Pelodiscus sinensis: one gene and its partner. Each later gene encodes a partner of the first gene's protein in a complex. Links are inferred from orthologs where the notes say so. Each region holds a gene or a part of one and is shown on either strand. Other genes may lie near its edges.

The links.
Region 2: SMARCD2 (region 1) and DPF3 share a complex: the UniProt entries of both Homo sapiens proteins name them as parts of the BAF complex. The link is inferred for Pelodiscus sinensis from reciprocal best matches to the Homo sapiens genes SMARCD2 and DPF3.

Annotation. Positions count from the first base shown.
Region 1 is NW_027466048.1:882,029-890,125, forward strand, and holds the start of SMARCD2 (SWI/SNF-related matrix-associated actin-dependent regulator of chromatin subfamily D member 2), read left to right. Parts: upstream 1-4,330; 5' UTR 4,331-4,407; coding exon 4,408-4,560; intron 4,561-8,097. UniProt on the Homo sapiens protein: Involved in transcriptional activation and repression of select genes by chromatin remodeling (alteration of DNA-nucleosome topology).
Region 2 is NC_134714.1:68,030,909-68,039,256, forward strand, and holds the start of DPF3 (zinc finger protein DPF3), read left to right. Parts: upstream 1-4,935; 5' UTR 4,936-5,314; coding exon 5,315-5,346; intron 5,347-8,348. UniProt on the Homo sapiens protein: Belongs to the neuron-specific chromatin remodeling complex (nBAF complex).

The DNA of each region.
Region 1 (8,097 bases):
CTTTTAATTTCTGTTTAACTAACCTCATTTTTGTGTAATTCCTTTTTCTGAAATTAAATGCCACAGTATTTGGGCTGTTACGATGTTTTTCCTGACACAGGAAAGTTTTTTTTAATATATATATTCTAGTCGCTATTTCAAAGAAATCCAGCTATTTTCACCTCCTGGACCAGATCTTGTGCTCCACTTAGGACAAAATCAAGTATTGCTTCTCCTCTTGTAGGTTTCAAAACCAGCCGCTCCAAGTAGCAGTCATTTAAGTTGTCAAGAAACTTTATCCCTTTATTGCATCCTGAGGTGAGGTGTACCTAGTCAATATGGGGATAATTGAAATCCCTCATTATTATTGAGGTTTTTTATTTTTATAGCCTCTCAGATCTCCCTTAGCATTTCATAGTCAATACCACCATCCTGGTCAGGTGGCAAGGTAATATATCCCTACTGCTATGCTCACAGTATTAGAGTGTGGAATTACTTTCCATAGAAAATGAGTTTGGTTCATTTACGATTTTTACTTCATTTGATTCTATGCATTCTTTCACATACAGTGCCACTCCTCTACCAGCACAATCTGTTCTGTTGTTCTGATATATTTTGTTCCCTGGCAGTACTGTATCCCATTGATTATTCTCATTCCACAAGTTTCTGTGATGCCTAATATATCAATATCTTCCTTTAATGTGAGGGACTCCAGTTCACCCATCTTATTATTTAGACTTCCAGTGTTTGTACAGAAGCATTTTTAAAATGTCACTATGTAGCTGTCCACCATTACATGATGTAATTGAATGGGACTCTTTTCAGTTGACCGTTTCTAATCAGATCTTACCCATATTTTATCATCTTCCATCCTCTCCTCTTTCTTAGGACATAGAGAATCTCTATTAACAGACCTTCCCTTAAAGGGATGTCTCTGTCGGATCCATGTGATCCTATGCACCTGTAGGCTTTCCCCCAACCCTTCATGTCAAGAAGGAAGCAAACTATCAAACAAAAACACTGTGCAACCCCTCCTCTTACAAATTCCCACCCAGATTTCTCTGTTTTCTGTGCTATTTGCTGGCTCCTGAGCTGCTACTGCACCCAGGAAGCAGTGCACTTGGCAAAGGACTTCTGGTCAGCAGCAATTGCAAACACAGCGCACTCACTGGCTGTGTCTAGACTGGCAAGTTGTCTAGACTGGCCGCTTGATTTTGCGCAAAAGCACTGACGTTCTGCTGTCCGAAATCAGTGCTTCTTGCGCAAATGCTTTGATGTTCCCGTTCGGGCAAACGCCATTTTCCGGAAATGCTTTTGCACAAAACGGCCAGTGTAGACAGCTGAAAACTGTTTTGCGCAAAAAAGCCCCGATGGCGAAAATGGCGATTGGGGCTTTCTTGCGCAAAACCACGTCTAGATTGGCACGGACGCTTTTCCACAAAAAGTGCTTTTGCAGAAAAGCGTTCGTGCCATCTAGACTCTCTTTTCCGCAAATGCTTTTAACGGAAAAACTTTTCCGTTAAAAGCATTTGCGGAAAATCTTGCCAGTCTAGACGTAGCCGCTGTGTATGCAGCTCAGCACTCAGAATAAAAGCAAGGGTTCAGTGACAAGCCGCTGTACTTGAACAAGGTGAGTTGCTTCCATTTCTTGGGAGTTGATTGGCTACCTTTGGAGTGGAGAGGAACAGGACACTCTCTCATGGGATTGAGAGAAATCACTGAGGGTATGTCTACACTACCCCGCTAGTTCGAACTAGCGGGGTAATGTATGCATACCACACTTGCTAATGAAGCCCGGGATTTGAATTTCCCGGGCTTCATTAGCATAAGCGGGGAGCCGCCATTTTTAAATCCCCGCTGCTTCGAACCCCGTGTAGCGCGGCTACACGGGGCTCGAACTAGGTAGTTCGGACTAGGGTGCCTATTCCGAACTACCGGTACACCTCGTTTCACGAGGAGTAACGGTAGTTCGGAATAGGACCCTAGTCCGAACTACCTAGTTCGAGCCCCGTGTAGCCGCGCTACACGGGGTTCGAAGCAGCGGGGATTTAAAAATGGCGGCTCCCCGCTTATGCTAATGAAGCCCGGGAAATTCAAATCCCGGGCTTCATTAGCAAGTGCGGTATGCATACATTACCCCGCTAGTTCGAACTAGCGGGGTAGTGTAGACATACCCTGATGGACTCTCAGGGTATGTCTACACTACCCTGCTAGTTCGAACTAGCGGGGTAATGTATGCATACCGAACTTGCTAATGAAGCCCGGGATTTGAATTTCCCGGGCTTCATTAGCATAAAGCTGGCTCCGCCATTTTTAAAAGCCGGCTAGTGCAAACCCCGTGCCGCGCGGTGTACAGATAGTTCGGAATAACTACGTAGTTCGAACTATCTAGCCCGTGCCGCGTGTAGCCGTGCGGCACGGGGTTCGCACTAGCCGGCTTTTAAAAATGGCAGAGCCAGCTTTATGCTAATGAAGCCCGGGAAATTCAAATCCCGGGCTTCATTAGCAAGTTCGGTATGCATACATTACCCCGCTAGTTCGAACTAGCGGGGTAGTGTAGACATACCCCCTGGGAATCCAAGCTGTGTCTATGCTGCAAAATGATGACATTTGGGCCTGAATCCTAGTGGGACCTGGGCTTGAATGCTTCACCTCTGCAGAGTCTTAGGGTACAGCTACACTGCACAGATGATTGAAGCTGCTGTTGTTGATCTTCCAGAGCTAATTAAGACAGATAATTCAAACTGTGAGGGACGCTCCAATTGATACTGGTAATCCTGCTTTCAAGAGGAAAAGGGAAGTGGAAGGAATAGTGTTCTTCCTTTGACTGCCTGCAGCGTAGACAGCTCCAAAAGTTGAGTTAAGCTACTTGGACTTCAGCTATGCAATTAACATATCTGAAGTTGGGTATCTTACTTTGACTTTGTCCCGTAGTGTAGATGTACCCTTTGGGTCCAGGCTAAGTCTGACAGAATTGTGTGTAGACAGAAGGGAGGATGTTGGATTCAAGCCTGAGCTTCTACTGTAGTGTAAACATTTCCTAACTAGCGTAACTAGAGAAAAGTTAAGAATGCCCAAGAGCTGTTTGGGACACAGGAATGTGAATGTTGAACCACTTAACTGGTAAAGTGGGATGTAATAGTGTAGTCGATTAACCGCTATAGACTACACGCATTTCCTACCACTTGCCAGTACATTTTTTAGCAGGCTGGCCTGCAGCCCAGCTCATTCCTGGTTTATGCCGGATTAGGGACCCACCCCCACTGCGGCTCTGCTTTTCAAGTGTATTAGGAGCCAGGCCGCCCGGCTCAGTTCCAGGAGCTGAGCCCCCCCAGTCCCTCAGACAGCCGGTCCATGAGGGGAGCTGGTTCAGGACAGACCAGCTCCCGCCTGGCGCCTGCGAGCAGCGTCCCGTGACGGGGGTTCACCCCTGGCTCCGAGCAGGGGCGGGTTCGATCCAACATGCCAAGTCCTGCTCCCCTGGGGTGTCCGGCTCCCGGGATGCAGAAGCACGAGGAGCCCCAAACCCTCTGGGTGCCCGAGGGGGGCGGGGGAGGGGAGCGAGGTTAATGAATGAACGGGGGGGGGCAGCCCCCCCCATCACTCCCGCCTCCTCCCGCGCCCAGCAGGGAGCAGGAGAGTTAAAGCAGCCAGCTTCTCTGCGCGGGGAGGGGGGGGGGGCGCGACGCTCCCGTCGCTCTAATTCGCGGCACATCTGTCAATCTCCCCGCGAGCCCGCCCCCGGGTCCCGGCCTGAGCCCCCCTCAGGGGGCCACGTGGGGGCGGGTTTGAGGCGCAGAAGCGGGCAGGGCCAAGGGGGCGGGGCCCAGGAGGCGGGCTCGTGGGGGCGGAGTTCGGGCCGAAGCGGAAGGCTCAGGGGACGGGCCCCGTGAGGGGGCGGGGCCAAGGCCTTAGTGTGAGCGCGTGGGGTTCACGGGGCGGGGCCAGTGCCCAGAGGGCGGGGCTCGGCGAAGGGCGGGGCTGGGGCCTAGGCGCGCGGCTCAGGGAGCGGGGTCAGAGCTGGGGGCGGGGCTCCTTGAAGAGAGGAGGGGGCTCGGGCCGAGGCGCACGGCTCAGGGGGCGGGGCCGGAGCTGGGGGCGGGGCTCGTTGCGACGAGGCGCACGGCTCAGGGGGCGGGGCCGGAGCTGGGGGCGGGGCTCGTTGCGGAGAGGCGCGCGGCTCAGGGGGCGGGGCCAGTGCCCACAGGGCGGGGCTCGGTCAAGGGCGAGGCGCACGGCTCAGGGGGCGGGGCCGGGGCCGGGGCCGGGGCCGGAGCTGGGGGCGGGGCTCGTTGCGGAGAGGCGCGCGGCTCAGGGGGCGGGGCTCGTTGCGGAGGGGCGCGCGGCTCAGGGGGCGGGGCCGGCCGGGCCGCGCGGGACTCGCCCAGGGCGCCGCCGCGGGTTGCTGGTAAACAGGCGCGCGAGCCGATGTCCGGGCGCGGCGCGTTCCCGCTCAGCCCCCTGCCGCCCGCCGCCGCGCCCCCCCCCGCCGCGGGGCCCGGCCTCATGCGGGGCCCAGGCCCGGCCGCCGCGGGGCCCGCCGGATACCGGGCCATGGGGCCCGCCGCCGCGGCGTACCAGGTGCGGGCCGTGGGGGGGCTGAGGGAGGGGAGGGGAAGGAGGTTTCTGGGGGGGCTGAGGGCACTGGGGGGTGGGGGAGGGGAGGAGGATGCTGGGGGGCTGGGGGTGGGGGAGGGGAGGTTTCGGGGGGCTCAGGGCACTGGGGGGTGGGGGAGGGGAGGGGAAGGAGGTTTCTGGGGGGGCTGAGGGCACTGGGGGGAGGGGAGGGGAGGAGGATGCTGGGGGTGTGGGGGGGAGGTTTCGGGGGGCTCAGGGCACTGGGGGGTGGGGGAGGGGAGGAGGATATTTAGAGGGGCTGAGGTCATGGGGGTGGGGGGGAGGTTACTTAGGGTTGCCGGGGGCTCAGCACCGAGGGACCATTTGTGATGTGGGGAGGGTGGGGGGGGACCCAGGGAAAGTGTCCAGTGGTGTTGGATGAGGGAAGTGGGGGGACCTGCTGTGGGCAAGTCTCCCAGAACAGTCCCTGGCCAGATACCATCTCCCGGCCTGTCCAGTGTACACCGCAGCCCTCCCTTGGGGATTGAAGCCCCCCCAAGGGAGGAAATTATTGCCAGTCCCATGCCCTGGGGGAGGGGGCTCTCTAGCTGGAGTGCTGCTGCTGCTCCCGGATGGGGCAGTGTGTCCCAGCTCTGGGGCAGCCTCTCTGGTAACTAGGGATGTTAAAATACTGTATGTTTATTCTGGTAAATGTGTAATCACTGAATATTTCAGTAGTTACATGGAGTGCTGGCTCCCCTTGAACACCGGATCCCACCTCCCCCCACTTCTCCCCGCAGCAGCACAGACAGGGCAGGGCCTGTGTGTAACCATGCACATAAACCCATGAGCCCAGGCTCATCAGTTAGCCATGTACACACATGCTCATCCCTGCTGGTAACTAGGTCTCTCACTGTTAGAACCGCAGTCCTTAAACCACGGAGGCACCAGGTATTCAATCTGACACTCAGCTTCACAAAGTGGCCATCTGCCTCTGGTTCCAGGTGTGCTCACAATGTGTGGCCCTACCCAGAGCACTAAGTTACACGGGGTCATGGCAGCATAGTTTGCATTTAAAAACAAATGCCATGCTCCTCATGCCAGGCACAGATGGATAAACGGAGTCATGGACGCAGCATTTGGTTCTCACAGCTGCCAGGGTCTAGTTAAAATAATGTGCAGCAGTAACCTAGGCTCAAGTAGACAGTGGTTATGCTGTTCTGCTTCTCCATTCTAGCTCGTTCCCCATAATGCAATTTAGAAAAAGTAGGGAAAGAGGCCTAATATGTCAACTGAAGAAGAGTCTGGAAAATTGTTCCCTAAGATTTGCCAGTTAGGTGGATTTACCAGAGGGCTGGATGTTGTCATTCCATTTACTAGTTTAAAAAAATGGTAGTACCAGTACAGCTTGTGGCACCATATTCTCCGAAGCAGTAGGGAACTTAGGAGAGAGATGAGACAGGGACTCATGGGAACAAGCTCATGCTTAATTTCCTTTTTCTGAATTTGGCTGAGATCCTTTTCAGATTGCTCCTGGTAGGAGCTGTCACTGGGTAGGTGGAGGGGGTTGAGAGACTGTTTTGGAGAAGATGAAATGGAGATGGTGGATTCTACTTGAAAAGTGACTGGATTAGATTGACTAGAAGCTTGGTGGTTTTTATGGTGCCTAAAATAGCAGTGTGTGTGTTTGGGGGGAGGGTTTCCTGCAAGAGAGTCATTAGAAAACAACAGGACAAGAGACAGATTCCTAATCAATTCTTTTCTTTGCACTTTTGGGGCCCCAATTGGTTCCCTGTACAAGAGTCTGGTAACTTCTAGGTTCTGTCTGCATTGCAGCTGGGAGCATGCTTAAGCTAGTGTACAGAAACTAGCTGTGGCCTAGGTGGTGATACAGGCTAGCCACTCAGATACAGACCCAGGGAGCTGGCCAAGCTTTTGCTCAAGGGGCTAGCCTATGGTGTAGCGTCCACACAGGTACTTCTGGTGTGCGAAGCTAGCACATGTCTGTGTACCCAGGCTGGGAGGCACACTTCCAGCTGCAGTGCAGACGTGCTTGCAGGCTGTTCGGTGTCTGTTGGCAGAGGGGTGGGATGGAGAACTAGGGTTGCTTTTCCTGAGGCGGGTGGGTGGGTGGGGGTGTGTGAGAGAGAGAGATACTGTAGTATTAGCTGTAGTACTCAATAGGAATGCTCTTGAATCCAGCCAACACTTATTTTTGTTTCTCCTACAAACTAATTGCATCAAACAGCTGTCTGCTTTCCCAGGTTCTAAGAGGGGGAGACACTGCGGGCTTGATTTGGCTATTCAGCAGCCCATTGGTGCTTCCTCTTCTAAGGTGGTGAGTTATGGACACACAATAGGTCATCACATAGCCCCTCTGCACCCTGTGGTGGGTGTTACAATCTGCTTTAGAAAAGGCTGGCCTGAGTTGCTTGGCTAAGGTTGGATGGCAGGCTGTCCTTGCCCAGTTTCCAAAAAATGCTATGGAAACTAACACATAACACCCTTGGTTCCGGGATTAACATCTCCTGAAGATGGTAACTGTTTGCAGTGCAGGATGATATTACAGGCTCTGTATTGTTAACTGAGAAATGTATTCTGTTCAAATCTTGTAGCATGTGATCAGGATGTTAAAGAAACTTTGTCTAGCTGCTGTTGCAGGCTTATCCCCTATTCAGCCTCTGTTTACGCCTTCTTTTTCCTGGTTCTGCATGGCTTTTAGCCACTTAAAGTCCATTAAAACGTTAGCAGATGACGCTGACTCACTTGTGGAGTTACTGTGCAAACACTCTGTCAGCATAGGATGGTGGCCTAGTTCTTCTGTAAACAGCCAGCAGGAACTGCTGCAGATGACTCCATATCAGGGGCAGCTCTAAGATTCACTTAGGATTCATGGGACAGTCATTCTGTTTGTGTGAAAACCAAGACAGCTAAGTGTGAACCACGTCGGGCAAAGATGGTGTTTTCTGCTGAAGCTTCTCTGTATTCCATTTCCCCTTTTGCAGAGTTGTGTCTCATTCATGCGTCTGTTTTGCAGGTAGAACAGTTATGTCCAGATTTTAGATTTTACTGCAAAAGTTTATCTAAAGGAAGTTAGATAAATAGTGGAAAATAATGAAGAGGGTGAGAAGGTTCCTGCTTAGTACCTGAAGCAGGGAATGGACACTGGGGACTCTGGAGAGGAGCTGGCCAGAAAGCAGAGAGACGGCAGAAGTTTGGGAGTCTGTGAATAAATTCTGTCTGCTGTCCAAGGCTTTCTTTGTGAGAATGGAATATGGTTACTGGCAGGCAAACTCTTTCCCTCAGTGCACAAAGCTGGCCATGCTGCTAGGCTCCTGCATGTGGATGTGATGAGCGTTGAGCAAGTTGGAGCATTGGGTAAAGCTCTCTGCCAGGCAAGCAGATTGTTTAAATGGAGGAGACCTGACTGATTTACAGTTTCCAGCTAGCCTGTCTTCCATCTCTCTGCTATTCCACCTCTAGGTCACCAGCCCACCCCTATTTATATTAGGGATGTGAATGTGTAGTCGAGCACATGGTTAACCGATGAGTCTCTGTTAC
Region 2 (8,348 bases), on another chromosome or scaffold:
CAGCAGACCAGTGAGCCTGGCAGATGGCAGCTGTCCGGGGCTGGGCAAAGTGCCTCTCCTGACCATCAGCACCTGTACCCCACCCTGGTAGGAAGGCCTCCCCTTTCCTCTCCACCAGGTTATGGAGAACGCAACACGCGGCCACCACCTCAGGGATGTTGCTCTCCTCCATGTCTAGGTGTGTGAGCAAGCACCGGAATCTGCCTTTTAAACGTCCGAACGCACATTCCACCTGGTTGCGAGCCCGGTTAAGGTGAGCATTAAACTGCTCCTTGCTCGCATCCAGGTGGCCGGTGTAGGGCTTCATCAGCCACGGCATCAGGGGGTAGGCGGCATCAGCCACTATGCACACCGGCATGTGCACATCCCCAACCGCAAAGTTGTGATGCGGGAAAAATGTTCCTGCCTGAAGCCTCCGGTAGAGGTACGAGTTCCTGAAGATGTGGGCATCATGTGCCTGCCCTGACCACCCAACACAAATGTCAGAAAACTGGCCACGATGGTCGACCAGGGCCTGGAGGACCATAGAAAAGTAGCCCTTTCTGTTAATGAATTGGGCTGCTCGATGGGGTGGTGCACGGATTGGAATGTGTGTCCCATCGAGCGCTCCTCCACAATTCGGGAAGCCAAGGGCAGCAAAGCCAGCCATGACGCTGTCCAGATCTGGTAGACAGACGAGCCTGTTCAGCAGCTCCGAATTGATGGCCCTCACCACCTGCAGAAAGAGACAGACAACAAAATGTTAGAAGGGGTGCCTTATCTCTTAGGAGGAGAACCCACCACCCACCTTCCCTCTCAAACACCCCGGGAATCCCCTCCTCAGAACTCCCCCCCCCCAACAATTCAGGGTGAGTGGAGGAGCTCCCTCACACTCCACTTTGCCCTTCCTGACAGTCTCCCTTCCCCCCACCCCAAACTGTGACTGTCCCCAGACAATGACTTACCTCCATCAGGATGGATCCAACAGTAGACCTGCCCACTCCAAATTGGTGTCCCACGGAGCGGTAGCTGTCGGGGGTTGCCAGCTTCCAGAGGGCAATGGCGACCCTCTTTTCCACGGGGATAGCGGGCCGCAGGTGGGTGTCTTGCCGTTGCATAGCAGGGGCGAGCCAGGTACACAGCTCTTGGAAAGTGGTCTTTCTCATCCGGAAGTTGCGTAGCCACTCTTGGTCATCCCAGAGCTGTATAACGAGCCGGTCCCACCAGTCAGAGCTGGTGTCAAGCCTCCAAAAATGCCTGTCCACAAAGAAGTTTGGAGGCAAGGGCAGTGGGGCTACATGACGGACGATCCCTTCGTACCTCTGGTCTGGGTCCAGATGGGGAAGTAGCCTCATGACTGTGTCATGCAGATGCAGCAACACTTGTAGTATGATGGCGTGGGGCCATCGCCTGCCCAGGGGCAGCTCTGGCTCTATGCCGAAAAAACGGGTCTAAAACAGAAAAACCTCCAAACAAAAAACCTGCTGGGGTGTCCCAGGAAGCTGAGCACTCCAAATCAGCACTGCAATGCTTTGCTTACCTCCTAGAGGGACAGCAAAGGCAGCTGCAGAAGCAGAGCAACGGGTGTTCAGGGGCGTCCCTTTAACCACGCGTCTCTGCAAAGGGCAGGCAGCAGCACCCGGAAGGAAATGCTGCCCCCATGCCCTAGCAGAAGCGGTTCCAGGTGGCTTTTAATTTCGAAAGAGCGTCCAGCAGTCAGGACGCTCTTTTTCGAAAAAGCGGATCGATTTTCCGATCCGCGTATTGTAACACGAAATACTTTCGAAAAAGCCTCTTTCGAAAGAGGCTTGCAGTCTAGACATAGCCTTTGGGAAGAGAAAGACAAAACATTTCTGGAGTAGCTTTGTTTAACTTGTTGTTTTTCAGCCAGGGCTATGCATACCTCATTGATTTTCAGGGGTACGCAGACAAAGGTCTTTCAGGGGATACATTCATTCAGCTATATATTTGCCTAGTTTTACAACAGGCTATGTAAAAAGTACTAACAAACTCAATACAAACTAAAATTTCATACCAACAATGACTTGTTTATAGTGCTCTATACACTCAAATTTAAGTACAATATTTATATCCCAATTGATTTATTTTATAATTATATGGTAAAAAGAGAAAGTCAGCAATTTTTCAGTCAAAGATTGCTGTAAGACTTTTTTGTATTTTTATGTATGATTTTATAAGCAAATAGTTTTTAACTGAGGTGAAACTTGGGGATATGCAAGACAAATCAGACTCCTGAAAAGGGTACAGTAAGGTGGAAAGGTTGAGAGACATTTTAATTCAAATAAGAGCTGTCTGAAGTTGCTCAGGGGCTGAGAATGTTACAATAAATTCCATAGAGGTGGACTAGGAAGCACAGTACAACCAAGGCAGTGAAAGGGACACTAAGTTCTTTACTCACATAGTTTTGCAATTTATCCCATGGTTATAAAATGTATCATTATGCTGCAGTTTCTCAGATGTTTATCACCTTCATGCATGTGGTACCCATCAGTATGTAAATATAAATGTTATATAAACAAATCTATGGCCCCCTAGGGATGATTATGACTTTTCTATGTGACAGTTCATGGCCAGTAAGAATCTGTGACAATGGAGATAGAACCAATTTTCTCCTATACTTTGAGCTAAAGGAGAAAGGTTTTATCTTGCTGACAATGACAGAGTTAAGCAATTCTGATGCTATCTAGCATAAGCCATAGGTACCTGAACATACTATCCTGTTAATTTCTCTGAAGGACTATGTCACATATGCATTTACCAACAATTTGCAGTTAGCAGCTGACTTTCTCTATGGCCAAGAGGGAAGTGGCAGACATGAGGTTCCTAAGTCATATCCATTGCCTTCTGGGCCAATATTATATTAAACATTATTATAATGGGCTTTGGACTCTTTGACCCCATTCTTAATTCAGCCCTCTGTTCCAGAAGTGCTGCTGTCTCAAACCTCCTTTGAAACCCAGACATATCACAAAACATTCATACTTCCAACTTACCAAGTTCTGAATGAGTGAAAGCAATGGACCATGATCAGTGTTCCCTCTAAGGTGAATGGCTGCGCACAAAAAATTGTAAGCCTGCCCACCTCCTTTGCAGAGCTGTGCTGCAACACTCACCTTTCTATTGCACGTGGAAGGTGGCTGGCATGGGGCGGTGTGGCAGGTGGGGAGGGGACAGGCCTGCGCCCGGAGTCGCATTGGGGGGCAGATGCTCTGGAGGGCAGGGCTGCATTGGGGGCTGGCTACCACTGGGGACCACGTAGCAGGAAGGTTGCTCCTGCTGGGAGTTGGGACTGCAGGTGGGTGGGTTCCTGCTGCTAGGGGTTGGGGCTGTGGCCATGTGGAGGGCAGAAGCTTTCCATCGGCCCCGGATGGGGCCAGAGCCGGAGGCATGTAGAGGGTGGCAGGCAGGCTGCTCTGGTGGTCCCAGCCAGGGTCAAAGCTGGTGGCACCTAAAAGGCCTCTCTGAGGGTGTTCCTGGAGAAAGACTGGATCTTGCTCCTTCATGTATTGCTGGTGTCACTTTCAAACTCTGGGGGTGGAGTGTTTCCATACCAACTTGGAGCCTCTGTTGAAGGGATTCTTCATTCTAGTTATTAAAACAGAAAAGGGAAAGGTACCAAACAATTGAAATGGTCAGAGTTGAGAACAGATCCTGGATGTTAAGCCCTCTTGCTGAATATGCTTAATGAATGGGTCACTGCCCAAGAGTCTATGCCATAAGCATGTCTGGCACTAAGAGCTGAACTGTGTCTTTTATTGCAGCCTTGAAATGTAGGAGATACTGTGTATTGTGAGCTGGAGGAGAGAAGGTAGGACTATTGCAATTTGCTTTTATCTGTACCCAGCTCTGCTGATGACTTTCTGTATGACTTCTGGCAATTTATTGAATAGTCCGTGTCTCAGTTTCCCTGTCTATAATATAGGGACATTGTGCCTCAAAAGCATTACAGAAAGTTCGGGATGCCTTGTTCATTTAATGTGGGCAAAGTGGAATGAGACTGCCAGTGCAAAGGGGAAACAGTTCTCGGCTACATTGAGTGCCTAATCTTGCCTTAGTAGGTCAAGCTATAGGCTTCCTACCCATTGCCAAATCATGCCACCCCTGCCCTCATCTTAACACCCTCAGGCCCCCTTGGCGGGAGCTGCAAGAAAACAGAAGGGGGACCTTTGAGAGGTACAGAAATGTTGTAAGGCAAAACCTACATTGATGTCTGACAAGAAGAAACTGCTTAAATCTGAGTGTGATCTACCTTCTGCTAGATCAACACTGGTGTAACTTCACTGATTGTGGTGAGGTTCCTTCTGATTTACAGTGGTATGAGAGCAGAATTAGCCACTTCTTGAGTGTCTTAGCTCATGCAGGCTAATTCATTTGCATACTCTTTTTTAATTAGTCGAAGATAAACTCTGACTTCCTGGAGTTAGTGCCTCTCCCAGAAATGGGCATTTAACAGCTGTATCTGTTCCAGGATTCTTGACTCCAAGTCACTCTGCTACCATGAAAGTAAGTGTCATATGAAATGTAGATTAAAATCCTCCCCCCTCCCTCTCTCCATGTTGAAAGATCAGAGGCCCAGGTCTCAACATGTTAGACAGGACAATCACTTCAGAAGTTGCTTTGTGGGAAAAACAGAGAACAGGCAGGCAGGCAGTTTGGCCACTGTGCATTATGTAACCAGTGCACTGGCTGCAGAAGCTGGATGACTGACATTGAGAAATTCCTAGGGGAGGGGGAGAGGGTGCTGCCCTGGAGTCACTGTAAGCACTAGGAGTTCCAAGAAGCCTAAAGGGGAAAGTGGCTTCAGGTAAAGGAAAACACATTGGGAATAATAAAGCTCAAGAATCTACTGCACCAAATGTCAGTACACCTGTAGTTTATTTTCCTGATGAAATGGCATGCATCCAACCCTTGCACATGAATAAGGGGACATGCCATTTGGGAAATGAAAGGCAGGCACAGCAATCCACAAAGACAAGGTATTCACCCTCATTCCTTTCTCTAGATTTCTTGACATTAAAGAGTCAGATAACTCCAAAGAGTCTTCTGTTCCACATCCTAGCCCCCCTCACTCTAGTTCGGTGTAGTGACAGTCCCTAGTGTAACTGCCCCTTTAAGACCTGCTCTCTTCCAGTTCCACAGAAAGGGAGTGACCTCTGGGCTTTGACAGCTCCCCTAATAACTAGCACAGCCCTGGCTCCGCCCCCAGCGCCGGATTGGGCGGCAGGCCGGTATCCCGTCTTCTGATTGGCTGGCCGCTTCCCCTAAGCGAACCTTTAGAACTCTGAGACACAATATTCTGTTACATTGTAGCAAAATGGCGACTGTCATTCACAACCCCCTGAAAGCGTAAGTAGGAATCAAAAATGTACATATTCCGCGTGGTTTAAATATGAAAAAAGGCGCCTTTCCGATGCTGCTGCCAGCCTGAGCCCGGTGCCTCCAGCCTCCCAGCTGATCTCTCCTCCCTCCCTCTTGCCTTTCTGAGCTCCTCTCTTTTTGTGCAACACACACGGGCGTCTTGCACTGAAATTAACAAAAAGAAATTGTTACATTTGGATTGTGATTAATTGGCTGGCCGAGAGGGAGGGAGAGTGGAGCTCTGAAGGGGAGGATGGCAGCGGGGCTTCTGGCAGCTCTCGGGGCTGCGGGGATCTCGGAAACGGCTAGGTCCTGCAGGACCCCTGAGGAGGGGCTTGCACTTGACAGAGTCCTGAGCCTGTTGTCCGGGCTGTCTCCCCCCGCCACCAACTCCGTGTCCACGGGAGAGGGATCGGTCCTGGAAGCCGGGAGCAGAACTGTCTGTGTTGCAGCGCTCCGACAGCAGTTCGGAGTTTTCTTTTGCAAAGCTTCTAGGAGTTGGGATGAGTTGAAAAGGAGGAAAGAATCAGCCACAGCGTTTGCTGGCTCGGGAGCAGAAGGGGCTGCACCGCTCGTTTCCTAGCAGGGCAGCAGGGGCATTGCAATTACACTTCGGTCTGTGTGCGAGGACTGGAGAGCCGGACTTGCGCGGAATGAATGACTCGGGGTCACTGCTGGGTGCTTTTTAGGCAGGAAGTCTAGAGAGCTCGTTGCCTAGGGGAGGTTTTCTCTTTTGAAAGTGGCAACGAGAGTTGATTGTGTTTCCATCTTGGGCTGGACACACTGGTCGCCGAAATCTGCCCGGATGTAAATGAGAAGCCGAATCTGGCCAGCTGTTTGCTGAGAGATACAGGCGCAGAGTATTGGGACAGGTGCCTCTGCTCTAGAAATATGCTGGGTTCTCCGATCTTGTATTAAGGCGGATTTAAGAGAGGCACACAGGAGCTAGGCATTTTTCTCTGGATCAGGTCCCTCATTTCCTTGTGGCCTGCAGCACACACCGTTAATCCCTCTAGGCATTAGGGAGAGGGGGATTTGGCACCGTCTGTGGGGGAGAAAAGGGGCTGTCTCAACCTTTTAAAAATGACTTCTGTGCTAGGGGGCAGCGCTTGCTAATAACACAAGACGCTCACAATGCAAGAAAGCGGCGTACCTGGGGGAGACACTTCATTTGGACTTCCCAGTCACACTGCGTGGGTATTTTATCCGTTTGAGGTCGTAGAGATGTAATTCCGACTCTGAGCTGTGTCTTTTCAATTAAACTTTCCGATTGGAGTTGGGAAACCACTTGGAGGTTTTTCCCGGGGATTCCAGCGGGGTTGTCTCTGTGCTGTGCAGCAATCTGGAGGAAGGGGAGCTGTACGCCGGGAGGGGGTACACGCACAGCTGTCAGATTTGCATCGCTCCTTCTCCATTTTGGCATCAAACGTTTGTCTGCCATTAAATAGCCTTTCATTTAGCAAATGGTAAAAATCGGTCGAGAAGGGGGAAGTGCCCTTAGAACAGGGCTAGCATAGGAGTAGTAGCTGTCTTTTGGGGAGAAAGACAAAACCCGGTGAATATGTGTGTGGAGTATACAATGTGCCACCAATCAGATTCCATATGTTATAGTTGTCCCAGTGAGAACAACTTCTTAACGCGCCTCCCCCCGCATTCTGCAGCTTAAATCAGTTTAATGTTTCAATTAAAAAATAAATCTGAGTTAGATCAGTCCCGTTCATTGCCAGAGTAACTTCCTGAAAGCACCGTAAGTAACTCTCCGGTATACTTTGTCTCTCTACACATATAACACAGCGAGCGAGGGTATCTTTAACTGGACCAACTTCGGTTGGTGAGGGAATGCATTGTCCTAGGGGTCCGTTTGGTGTGGAGCGACATGCCCTGTGTCTGGATGTGACGACGGCACTAGGATTCCTAACAATGGAGGTCGGGGCTGGTTTTCTTTCGGCAGAATCATTCATTTGTTGTGGGAGGCGAGCTTCCTAAAAAGCAGCCGAGGAGTCTCACGTGGCGGGGCGCGGGGCGGGTGCGTGGAGCGCGAAGGGAAACCTGGTTCTGCGCTGGCTGACACGGGTGCAAATGAGGAGTCACTCCACATGGAGTGACGGGGGCGGGAGGAGATTTCAGCGTGGGCTGTCCCTTACCGAACGACACTGTTCTGTTTTGTGTTAGCTTTGTACGTTCTCTAATTGTGGAACATGACACACTCACACCTGTGATTTACTTCTCCCTTACGTACTAAATCCTGCCTAGTTTGGACGGGTAGTTACATTCTTTTGAAGCTCGGCCCTGTTCCTACTGAAGTCAATGGGAGCAGGAGCAGGTCTGTTATAATTAGCCCCCTTTTCCTCCCCCTCCCCCTGGGGTGAGAAGAGAGGAAACAATAGACCTCAAGTGCAGGGTTTGCTTTTCTCTGTGCGCCTTTTTAAGTACCACTGCTGGGTAGGGGAAACAGGACTGTCACTGGCTGTCTGACACCATCTGTCTTTTTTTTTTTTTTTGAACAACTTGTTTAATAAAACATTCTATAATTTCCATTTATTGTTACAAGTTGCTGATCAGGAAACAATACACATGTAAATAAATTATGCAAAGGATAAATTAGAAGCAAAAGCATTAAGACACGTAATAGGGGGGAAAGGATGCTTTGCACAGTGTTTTATCCTCATGTGTCCTTCCTGACAATGAAAGGGAGCTGAATGACATTTGCATTTCCTCTGTCTGCGTTTTGATTGTGTCTCTTAAAAAAAAAAAAAAAAAAGACAGACGCCCCCTACAGAAACTGGCCACACAAAGATTTTGCTCTGAGATGGGGGACAATGTAGCTACTGTAGATTGAAATACTAGCTCAGGTATTGTGAACTGCCCCATGTATTTTTATTTATTTATGTATGTATAATATTCTTTTAGCTCAATTACATAGACACATATGCTGCTCTGTGTATACTATTCTAGTTCTCCTGGAATAATATTTTTCCAGTGCGCCTGAG